Struthio camelus: one gene and its partners. The protein of the gene in region 2 interacts with the protein of the main gene of each other region in a pairwise test. Links are inferred from orthologs where the notes say so. Each region holds a gene or a part of one and is shown on either strand. Other genes may lie near its edges. The genes, in order: SP2, BANP and FHL2.

Evidence for each region.
Region 1: the proteins of BANP (region 2) and SP2 interact in binary tests that used the Homo sapiens proteins (3 or more experiments, as listed by UniProt). The two-hybrid records come from large-scale screens. The link is inferred for Struthio camelus from reciprocal best matches to the Homo sapiens genes BANP and SP2.
Region 3: the proteins of BANP (region 2) and FHL2 interact in binary tests that used the Homo sapiens proteins (3 or more experiments, as listed by UniProt). The two-hybrid records come from large-scale screens. The link is inferred for Struthio camelus from reciprocal best matches to the Homo sapiens genes BANP and FHL2.

The regions. Positions count from the first base shown.
Region 1 is NC_090966.1:5,808,680-5,812,423, reverse strand, and holds the start of SP2 (transcription factor Sp2), read left to right. Parts: upstream 1-1,173; 5' UTR 1,174-1,370; intron 1,371-3,647; exon of another isoform or gene 3,648-3,723; intron 3,724-3,744. UniProt on the Homo sapiens protein: Binds to GC box promoters elements and selectively activates mRNA synthesis from genes that contain functional recognition sites.
Region 2 is NC_090951.1:3,025,153-3,028,896, forward strand, and holds the start of BANP (protein BANP), read right to left. Parts: upstream 3,019-3,744; 5' UTR 2,896-3,018; intron 1-2,895. UniProt on the Homo sapiens protein: Controls V(D)J recombination during T-cell development by repressing T-cell receptor (TCR) beta enhancer function. Binds to scaffold/matrix attachment region beta (S/MARbeta), an ATC-rich DNA sequence located upstream of the TCR beta enhancer.
Region 3 is NC_090942.1:154,186,534-154,190,277, forward strand, and holds the start of FHL2 (four and a half LIM domains protein 2), read right to left. Parts: upstream 2,387-3,744; 5' UTR 2,345-2,386; intron 1-2,344. UniProt on the Homo sapiens protein: May function as a molecular transmitter linking various signaling pathways to transcriptional regulation. Negatively regulates the transcriptional repressor E4F1 and may function in cell growth.

The DNA of each region.
Region 1 (3,744 bases), on a different chromosome or scaffold from region 2:
CCTGTCCTCAGTTTGCCCATCAGTAGAATGCGTAGAAGGTGAGTACGCTGCCCGGGCTGCGTGCTCGCCCCCAGGCCGCGTGCATAAAGGGGGCCTGCTGGGCTCTGGGCCCCATCCCATGCCGGCCCGCAGTCCCCGCAGCGACCCTGCAGCTCGGCCGGCTGCATCCATGGGGCGATTCACCTCCATAATAGGATAACGCACTGCAATTAGGCACCGAAATCCCCAGCGCGGCGCGAGGAATGCCACGTCGCCCGGCGTGGTGTGATCCGGTAATGAGAGACGCCGGGGACGCGCGGCGGGACGCGGGGCCGTGCCAGGAGGAGTGGAGGACTGGGGGCAGCAATGCTGTCCCCTCCACGGGCTGGGGGCCCAGGTGCTCCCACCCCGGCAGCCGCCTGGAGCTTGAAGAGGGACGGGATACCCACGGGTGGGTGCCAGGTGTGGCCGTGCCTCGAGAAACGCTGCTTTCGCCTGCCCAGAGCCTCTCTGGACTGGGTGGGGACCAAGGGCGGTGGCCCCCGCGGCGGCCCCCGGCCCCATCGCTTCGGACTCGGATCCCCCCCTCGAGGCGGGAGACGCCCCACGCGCGGCATCAGGGACACGACCCACGCGGGGGGCTGCAGCGCGACGGGCCCCGCGGGAGCCGAGTCTGCCGAGCGCCCGGAGGCAGCGGGCCGGGGGCGGCGCCGCGCCGCGGGCAGCGTTTCCACCCCCCGGGCCGGGAGCGCCCACGCGGGGCGCGCCGAGCCCCGGCCGCGGGGGGGATCCCCGGGACTTCCCGCGCGGGGACCCCGCTGGCGTCATCAGCCTCCCAACGTTCCAGAATCCCCCCCCGCTCCGCCCCTCCGCCAATCACAACTGGAGCGGGGCCGCCTCGCTGTTCCCCTTGGTGAATTTGCCTGTCAATCGGGCCTCGCCTCGGCCAACCGCGAATCTCCCCCTGGATGACGCCCGCCCACGAGGAAGTCCCCACCTCCTTCTCCCTTCCGGAACGCTGTCAATCAATCAGCAGGGGGGCGACAGGCTGGTTTTGCTCTCATTAGCCAAGAGAGCTGTCAATCAGAATTTTGTCCTCCCATTGGGTATCCGGTTTCCGTCCGTCATCCCTGAGGCCCGCGTCCATTGGCGGAGCTGTCACTCCATCACCGGGCCCCATTGCTCAGCGGCGCTGTCCATCAAGAAGCCATCCAGGGCGGATTGGTCGGCGATAAAGCATCCCCCCGCCAGTTGGCCGGAGCGCCGGCAAGCCGGGTGGGGATTGGCGGCCAGGCTGCGGAGGGGGCGGGCCATTCAGGGCGGTGCCCGAGCGGCCTAGGAGGAGGAAGATGGCGCCGTGAGGGGGGTCGGAGCCGCCGCCGCTCCGGCCGGTCTGTGCGGGCGCTCCGCGGGGCGGGGCGGGGCCGCGGCGGCGGACGGCGGGGCCGGCGGGGAGGAGGCGGCAGGGTCGGGCCGGGCCGGGTTGGGGCGGGGGGGGGGGGAAGAGGAGACGAGGCGGCGGCGGGGCCGGCGGAACCGAAGCCCGGAAGGGGCGTGCGGCCTCCGCGGCCCGCCCCGGCCCGCCCTTCCCGTGCGCCGGGCGGGCGGCGCTTCCGGGGCCCGGGAGGGGGCGGGCCCGCCGCCTCGGCCCGCCTCCCCGGGGACCCGCCGCCGCCGCCAGGGGCGGGGCGGCCCCGGGGCCAGGCGGGGGGCCCGGGCCGGGGGGGGGGTGTCCCGGTACGTGGCGGCGGGGAGGGGGCTGCGAGGGCGCCCGGAGGTGCCCGGTCTTTGGGGGGGGGGGTGGTGGTGCTGGGGCAGGGGCTGTCCCGGCTGGGGGGTCTCCGGGGCGGCTTTCGGCCCCGGTGCTGGGGGGGACCCGTGCAGGCGGTGCCCGGGCTGCTGGGGAGACTCGTCCCCGGCTCCCCGGGGAGTGCTTGGGGCTGGGGACACCCGTGCTGAGGGTGCTCGGGGCTGGGGACAGCTGTGCTTAGGGTGCTGGGGGTGCTCGGTGCTGGGGACAGCCGTGTGGAGGGTCCCCGGGGATGCGTGGGGCTGGGGACAGCCGTGGTGGGGGTCCCCGGGGATGCTCGGGGCTGGGGACAGCCATGTGGAGGGTGCCGGGGGTGCTCGGGGTTGGGGACAGCCGTGCCGGGGGTGCTCGGGGCTGGGGACAGCCGTGGTGGGGGTCGCCGGGGGTGCTCGGGGCTGGGGACAGCCGTGTGGAGGGTCGCTGGGGGTGCTCGGGGCTGGGGACAGCTGTGTGGAGGGTCCCCGGGGATGCGTGGGGCTGGGAACAGCCGTGGTGGGGGTCCCCGGGGATGCTCGGGGTTGGGGACAGCCATGTGGAGGGTGCCGGGGGTGCTCGGGGTTGGGGACAGCCGTGCCGGGGGTGCTCGGGGCTGGGGGCAGCCGTGTGGAGGGTCCCCGGGGGTGCTCGGGGCTGGGGACAGCCGTGCCGAGGGTGCCAGGAGTGCTCGGGGCTGGGGACAGCCATGTGGAGGGTCCCCGGGGGTGCTCGGGGCTGGGGACAGCCGTGTGGAGGGTCCCCGGGGGTGCTCGGGGCTGGGGACAGCCGTGCTGAGGGTGCCAGGAGTGCTCGGGGCTGGGGACAGCCATGTGGAGGGTCCCCGGGGGTGCTCGGGGCTGGAGACAGCCGTGCCGGGGGTGCTCGGGGCTGGGGACAGCAGTGTGGAGGGTCGCCGGGGGTGCTCGGGGCTGGGGACAGCCGTGGTGGGGGTCCCCGGGGATGCTCGGGGTTGGGGACAGCCGTGCCGGGGGTGCTCGGGGCTGGAGACGCCTGTGCCAGGGGTGCCGAGGGTGCTTGGGGCTGGAGACACCTGTGCCGGGAGTGCTCGGGGCTGGGGACACCCGTCCGAAGGTGCCGGGGGTGCTTGAGGTTGGAGACCCTCGTACCAGGGGTTCTCAGTGTTGGGGGCAGCTGGCGTCGAGTGCCAGTGGTACCCGGGGCTCTCGGAGCCCGGAGTGGGGGTGTCCAGCAGGGCGAGGTGGGGTACAGAGGTGTCAGCAGAGGGGTGCTGAGCCTGGGGGGGGTTGTGCATGTGCATGGGATGCAGAGGAGCCCAGAGCAGACATGGGGGGGCTGCGGCTAAGGGTGCATGTCGGAAGCATCCTGGGTTTGTGGGGAGGGGGATATGGGGGGCACATGGGGCTCGGGGGAGTGTGCCAGCGATAGAAGGAGTGTGGGGTGTGGGCACGGTACAGCGCGCGGTGCTGGGAGTACGTGGGGGACGTCGGGTGCTGACGTGTGTTGGAGACGCATGGGAGATGGGGTCCGGTGCTGTGTGGGGAAGGGTCTGGGCGACCGTGGGGCCCGTTTTGCCCCTGTAAAGGGCCCTGGGACGAAGAGGGGACTCGGGCTTGTCCCCAAGTAGGCACTTTGCAGCAAGGGGGGCTGCAGGGCCGAGCTGTGCCGAGGGTGCTGGCCCAGCCCTGGGCATGTAAGCAGGGAGAAACAGGCCAAGGTTTCTTTGGTCCCTGGACGGTGTAAGAAGCAACAGGATCTTGGCCGCTCAGGGAATGAGAGATTGATGCTGCTGGAAGTTTCCACACGGCCTCTCTCATCGCTCTGGGGGAGCTGCTGTTCAAGGGTGCCCTGTGATGCGTTTGCTTTCAAGCCATTAAAATCTCTCTCTCTCTCGTATATGCAGAGCTAGGAGCTGCTCCCTCCTCCTTGAAGCCGGTCCTGCAGCGTGCATGTGCATCCTTGGCAGCACTGCTAGCCAGGTTTGCCTTATTTAAGAGAAT
Region 2 (3,744 bases):
CATTCTTTTTTCATCACAAGATAACGATGCTCCAATTTCCAGAGGAAAAACTGAACTTACTGTATTTTTCCCTTAAGTGGTCTAAGTTAGGGTTTTAGAAATATGAACCAAGATAAAAGAATTTTGCCCAACAGGTGACATCTCTGAAAATTACTTTATTTAAAGTTTCTATATGCAAAGGATTTTAAGAAGTTAACCTTTTTTGTGCACTTTCGCTTAATGCCTTAACATGCAGTCTAATATTAAGTGCTCAGTTAAGCCTACCATATAGGAGCTTTAAAATCCTAAAACTGCAATGAAACAAATATTTGACATGACTTCGAAAGACATTTTATTCTTTTATTTTTACTTAAAAAAAAGAATACGTTTAGCTTTTCAATGAAAACGTAAAAAGAAAAAAAAAAAACAGAAAACAAATTAAATTACTTCAATAGTTAACAGCTAAATACCATGTTCCAAACTAAAGGAAATCAAATCCATGAAAAGAATTTTATTGGAGAAGTTCAGTATACATAGACATTTTGTTCTTCTAATTCTAATCATTCGATTTGCATCGTCTCCTACTACAAGTAGCTCTTTTGCTGTTCTGTTCAATTCACATAAACAAATTCTGTAGATCTCTGGGACCAGAGCTTCTGTACACAAAGACAAATGCCCATCTTCCTCTTAAAACGAATGAGCCTTCAATTACTTTAGAAAGAGCATCACAGGAATTTCAATTCAAGTCATTCTTCAGTGAAAGATATGCAGACATGCAAATTGTGAAAAAACAGAGATGTGTATTCTTCCTGCATAAGCTGCGAATCAACTTAAGAAGTTCAGGAAAAAGTTCAAGACGAAGAGCAGAGACAATCTAAAATCCTTGCAAACGTGAGTATATTAATGTAATTCATGTGGGTCTGAGCCCCACGCCAGAGCACTGCTCTTTGCAGAATCAAGGTAAACCTCTAAGTATCACTTCTGGTTACAAGGAGCTAGGCGTAGCTCAGCTTTCTTCACCTGACAGTATAAAACATATACCTTGCGTTGCGCCAAGAACAGCGCCACATGCAAGAAACAAACCTTTGTAAAACTTCTTTAGCAAAACACGTGCTGGTGGAATCCTGACTGTTGAGAATTGTATACTGTTACTGCTCGCTGTACTACTGCTGCACTTCTGACATTGTTACTCAATTACTCCTTTAAAAGTCTTAAATTTTAAGATCTGCCCTGTAACCACACAACTTTAACACAGCTAGATAATTAAGACATTAAAGCGAGTTACAGTTCTAATAAGTCAGATGATGAATTACAAAACAAAGAAAAGTTACAAAATATTCTCATCCTCTGAATCAGAGAGAATGTTAATGCTTCTAAAGTCCAAATTCAATCTTTTACCCTTCTTAATAAATTAGTCTTTCTTCTTACCATCTTTTCATGTCTTATTGAAAAGTGAACTAAAGCCAAGATATCATTTAGTGTACACAGTAGGGCTCATACAGTTTCCAAATCAATTTGTTATTCTGTTAAGATTTCTTGGGATATTCATTTGGCATATATAAATACCTTCTAACAGAATAAATCCATTGTTTCAAGAGACACTACTAATGAACTAACGCTTAAGATAAGGGTTTTTTTTCAGATCTTGCCTGAGTATTTGAGATTCTACAGACAAGTTTTATGTTTGCTGCTTGAAAGACTGACACCAATAGGGTACTACATTTAAGGTAAACTCACATATAAGTGAATTAAAAAACAAAAAAGTAGCAAAAATCCCTCCAAACTATCATTTTACAACAATCTGAAAGTTACTTCAACTGGCATCATCACTTGGTTGATAATATCCCTCCAAGCTTGTTTCCTTAAAAAAAAAAAAAATTCTTCCCTTGAGAGCACTAAAAATAAATTGGTACATAAACTGCATGACCCACAGCAGAATAAAGCTACTATATTTGGTTAAGTGCACAACTTCCCACTCAACTAGGATTTTAAAAAAAAGGAAAAAAAAAAAGAAAAATTAAAAAATGCACTATTCGAATTAGAAATAAGAACAAAAGGGAAGAGAGAGAGAGAGAGATAACTGGGAGTGCGTTGTCAGACAGGTCGCTACCGTGAGAACACTGGAAAACATCACCCCAGATACGGATGTGAAAAGCCCCTGCTATGACCCGATGACCACGCAGAGAGAACTGCGCCTCTCCCCCCCCAGCAGGCGCGAGCACAGCCGCAGACCCCTCGGCACGACGAAGGGGCAGAGGCAGCGCCGCTGTCACCGCTTATTCACCGTCTATCACGACGGGGGGAGGAGGGCGCGCGGCGACACCCAAAAACCCCTGTCCGCAGCGCCGCGTGTGCGCCACCCCCAGAGAGGGAAAGCGGCTCAGACCTGCCCCGTCCTTCAGAAAGGAGGAAACACAAGCCTCGGGCAGACGGGGGGAGAGGGCACGGTGCCCGGCGGCGCTGCCGGGGAGCAGCCGAGCCCCCCTCCCCCCCCCCCCACTCGCGGCGCTGGGCAGCGAGGGGCGCCAGGACTGAGGCGCCCCAGCCTGGCGGGGGGGGGGGGGGGCTCCCCTTCTCTCCCCAGGCCCGAGAAGGCGGGCGGGGGGGCGAGGCGACGAGGAGCAGCCCCCGAGGAGGGCCGGGCGGCGGCGGCGTCCCGCGGCGGGAGGAGGCGAGAGCCCGGCCGCCCCCCCCCACCCCGCGCCCCGCCCGGCGGAGGGGGGGGGCGGAGGCCCGCGGCCCCCCCCCTCCCCCGCCGCCGCCTCGGCCCCTCCCCGCAGCCGCCGCCTTACGGCGGCGGGAGCTCGGCCGGCGCTGTGAGGAGAGGGGAGGCTGCGAGGGCCGGCGCCGTAAGCCCGGCGTGAGGCCCCCCGGGAGCTCAGCCCCAGCCGTCCGGCGGCGGGGCGCCGCGGTTACCGTGTGCGGTGCCGAATTCTCGTGGTGTTTGTCGAGCGGCTGCGATAATGGCGTCCTTCCTCGCGAGAGATCTCCCTCTCCGCAGCGCGCAGGCGCCGCCGCGCTGCTCCCGCTCGGCCCCCGCCCGCCCCGAGCGCCCGCGCACGCGCAAGGGAGAAGCGGCCGGGCAGCCGCCCTTCACCGCCGCGCTGCCGGCCCAGACTACAACTCCCGGAGGGCAGCGCGCCGGCCCTTCGCCCCCGCCCCCGCCGAGCAGGCCGGGACCTGTAGTACACGCGCCGGAGGCTGTGCACGCTGGGAGTTGTAGTCCGCACCACACGGATGCGCCACATACAAACTCCCCCCCACACACGCACACACTCAATGCCCCCAAACCCCTCAACACCTACCTCCCTCTTTCTCCCTCATTCGCCCTGTTTCACCCTCCTGAGGCGCCAACCCGGCCCTGACACAACTGTGGGAGGCAAGCCTGAGGGCAGACTCAACAACTCCTTGCTCTGGCTGGCGCGTTGCTTTTTCCTACTCCTTTCTCAAGTCCTTTTATTAAATTTCTCCCTCCGCTAAGGGACCTTGAGCGCTTGCATCCCTGAAATGAGATGATCTGAATGGGAGCTGTCATATTAAGAAGAGAGATGTCACCACGCTCAGTACACAGCTGAAGAACAGGCAGCAAGGGGGGGGGGGGGGGAATTGGCTAAATTAGCTTACCAGACTGCTTTTTCTGTTGCTTTTCATTCCTGCATTTGGTATGAGAACAGAATGACTGGGAGAAGGTGGAAAACCTTCTGGAAACCTTCTGGGAACGACAAAAATATGCAAAAGCATGAAAAGAGAGCATGGAGGAAGATT
Region 3 (3,744 bases), on a different chromosome or scaffold from region 2:
CTGAGGCTTGGATGACAGAGAAAGAATTTGAGGACATGAGTAAATTTCTGGCACTGCAGAAACGAGGCTACTCTATTAAAAATATTAGTTTTGTATGTAACTTCTTTATTATGCAATTTACTGTGGTGGCGTCAGTTTAGCTTAATGGCAGGGTCCTGGATAAACAAGACAACATGGGTCAATGGGCTTGGGCAAGGCGTCTCCCAGTCCACACTGGAGGACTGCTTAGAGGCAACACTGCGCTCTTCAGTGGGAAGCACCTACGTTTGAACGCCAGGCAACTTACAAAACCCATTTTATCAGTTCTGGGGACCAGAAGGTTGGAGCTCTGAAAGGATCTGAAAAGAACAGATCCTGGGCCAGCGGTGGGACAGTAACTGCTGGAGAACAGATGGATGTGCAGAGGCTCTGACTGTGATATCTGAAGAAGTTAAGCCTCCCCAGGCATCAGTGAGGGGATAGTAAGCCTTTAGATAAGATAGATGTGTGCAGCCAGTTTGGTACTCTGCATTCCTTTTTTCTTCTACTTACGTTATATGCTGTTCTTCACACAAAATATGGAACAAACTAGTTTCTAAGCTTGCTCTTTTGATATTGTCTGCACTGACGGTCACAGGCCCCCACCAGAGAAAGCCAGGATAGCTCAGCTGGATGAGACACATTAATTGAGGCCGTGTAAAAGAACAAGTTCAGATGCAGGTAGGGGTGCACTAGGGGCTACATCAATACTCATAAATCAGACAGGACCACAGGATGCTCCAGGCTCCGCAACTCATTTGGCCACGCTGGTCAGTTGTCCCTGGCGCAGTTTTGGCGTGCGCCAGCTAGCCCTCTCCCAGCCAGATCCTCGGCATGGTTTGGGAGGTGGGTAGCCCAACCCCAGGATACCTTTCAGATGTGGCCACTTTGTTCAGACACCAGGAGTGCATAATGGCATGGACACAGACTGCTCAGACCAGGTGACCCCAGGACCACTTTTCCCAGCAGAAGTATTTCTGGGCATATTTCATTCACTATTACAACCGCCTTTGGGTTGGATCCAACATTTCCACATGTACAGGCCAATCAACAGTAGATGGAAACATCCATATTTCAGCAATGTCCATAGATGTCTGACAGTTTGTATCAAGTAAGGATCTTTCCTTTTGCCTCTGAAATCCGCACGTAGGCATTAGGCCCAGTCTCAAATGCTTTGAAGTGAGATGAGCCATTTGTACAGGCCTTGGATGTGGATCAGGCCTGAGGAGTCCTGCTCTCCAGAGAGCCAACATCCCTATCAGAGTCTGTGAAGCACTGGTTGCTCAGCAATTTGGAAATAAGCCTTCTTTTATTTCTTTACTTAAATAAGGGAATAGTAAATAAAACTCTGTGCAAAGTATGATACCTTCTGATCTCTGGCTAAAAATAAATTAATATTTCTTACCTTTCATACTTTGTGATCCTTGCTTGAAAAAGTCTCTTGTTACAAGAATGTTTATAATAAAAACGCATGTATAAATGCATCTAAATGCACATACACACATGCACAAACAATCTTATTTTTCCAAAGAGGTCTTCTTTTATTCGCTTCATTTGAAAATTAATACTCTCATGAGATGAGGTTAAAAGTAAATTAGTGTAACAACGGTCTGATAATTGGCATTTGGCAGTTGTTGCTAATGCTGTTTTCCAGACAAGTTCTGAAGAATTCCTGCTTTGACACCCAGTTACGTTTCAATGCTTTTCTTTCTTTTTCCCTTTCACACAGCTGCTGTAATCCATAACAAATAATTGTTTAAACACAAAATCAGCAAGCATCGTGTGTAATTTGCCTTTCTCTCTTTCAAGACCATTACGAAACGGTGTCAAAGACAGAAAAAAAAAAGTATAAATGTTCCTTCTGTCCCCCTTTTTTTCACTGTCTGTTCAATTTCCAAATATTCATCCTAAAGAAGAAAATGCTGATAGAGAAAAAAAAACTAATCAAAAGCTTTCTGCCTGAAGTCATTCAGTTTCCTATTCAAACCAGGAAAGTGTCTCTAGTTAGACATGGTTGTATTCCCTGAGAACATGAAAACATGACAGCATATTATTAGCGCAGAAACTAAAGAGCAGCTGTTATTTAGCACCTGGTTCCCAACAGCAGACTAGAAATGCAAAGTGAGACACTATGTATGTGCCCTGACAGACAGCGAAAAATGAACAAACAACCGAAAAGCCACTCTTCCTGCAAGAAAGAAGCACTCCGTTCATGATCTCTACATAGAAAGTGTTGACAAATTTCCAGCCCTCCTCCTGAAAGGGAGGATGAAAAGGAGTAAAGGGGCCAAAAGACAGCTAAAATCGAAAGAAGTTGTTTTCTTACCTTGCTGCAACTTGGTGGTGCCTCTGCTTGCTAGTGTGAGAATGAGAGAAGGCAGAGACAAATGCAGCGACTTACTGCTTTATTGGATTACCCAAACTATGCATTTAGTAATTACACAGTCAGGCATTCGTTCTTTAGACAAGCTATAAATATAATATCTCCAAAGTACCAGCCATCCACAGGAGATAAGAACAGCATCACCTCTGTGCTCCTGGCCTTTTAAGGCATCATAGTTAACGGTAGCACAAGACCTGTAATGGAAAGGGCTGCCACTCTCCTGAGCAACCCTGGCCCTTTACTCTGCTTGATTCGGGAATGTCTGACCTTAAAATACGCTCACCTAAGCGTAGCGAGGTTCTAGGAGGGACTGTCAAAGAACGAGAGTAATTTAATGGCCTGATATTTTAGCTGGGCTGTAAGAGTCTAGCTTCTAAATCAGACGATTTGTCAAAGCTTTGGGATTAACAAAAACACTCTAGGAAATGCTAACCGCTCTGAAGATGTAACAAACTTTAACTTGCCCTTCATTCATCAATCTCAGGTATGCATCTTGTTGAAAGGGAGTCTGAGTCCCTCATATTCTGCCACGTTTTACCCTTGCAACCCCTTGTATGGGGGAAGGCATTGCTAGTTCTACCATTTTACAGCACAAAGAAGCTCTAGCAACTAGCCTGAGGTGAAGAAATAAATATGTGCCAGGCTGGCAGTGGGCACTCATAACTCAGGAGACTGCTTTCCTCTCTGGGCTTCCTTCCTGCTGTAATGGAGTTGTTACGTTAGGTTAAGGGGACATTCGCACATTTAAGGAATGAGAGATTAGAGGTGAAAAAAGTTCAGCAACTCACATTGGCAAAGCCCCTCTGGCCTCAGAAGAAAACCTGCCCAAGCAAGGCTCCATGCAGAATTAGGGTTACAGCCTATCTCCTTGCTAGGTCCATCTCTCACTTTATTGCACTACTCTGGAGTATGTTGCAGCAGAGACATGATCCTTGGCCCGAAGTTGAACTATTTTAACCTTTTTTTTCACCCAGAATGAAACACAATTGCCTCACTGCATGCCACTTCTCCTGTCAGGACGGCCTTGTGGGTCCTTTTGGTTCCTCCCTGCAATTTGACCTGGGACTTCTACGCTTTTGTTGTGGCCACCTGACTGAGAATTGCCCTTTAGGGGTTTTGCTCTGTCTGGGGAGCAGGGAGAGCAGGACATGAGATAAAGAGTTTGACCTGATAAGTAGAGAGTCTACACTTGTGAAGGTAGGCAGTGAGATGTCAAGAGGAGGAAAAGAAAAGCCTCTCTTTTACAGAGGCAGGTAAAGAAACAAGATCAGGCAGCCTGCACAAATAGGCAAACGACCCTCTCCTTAACGCAGCAACATACTTCTCAGATGAGGCACTATTCT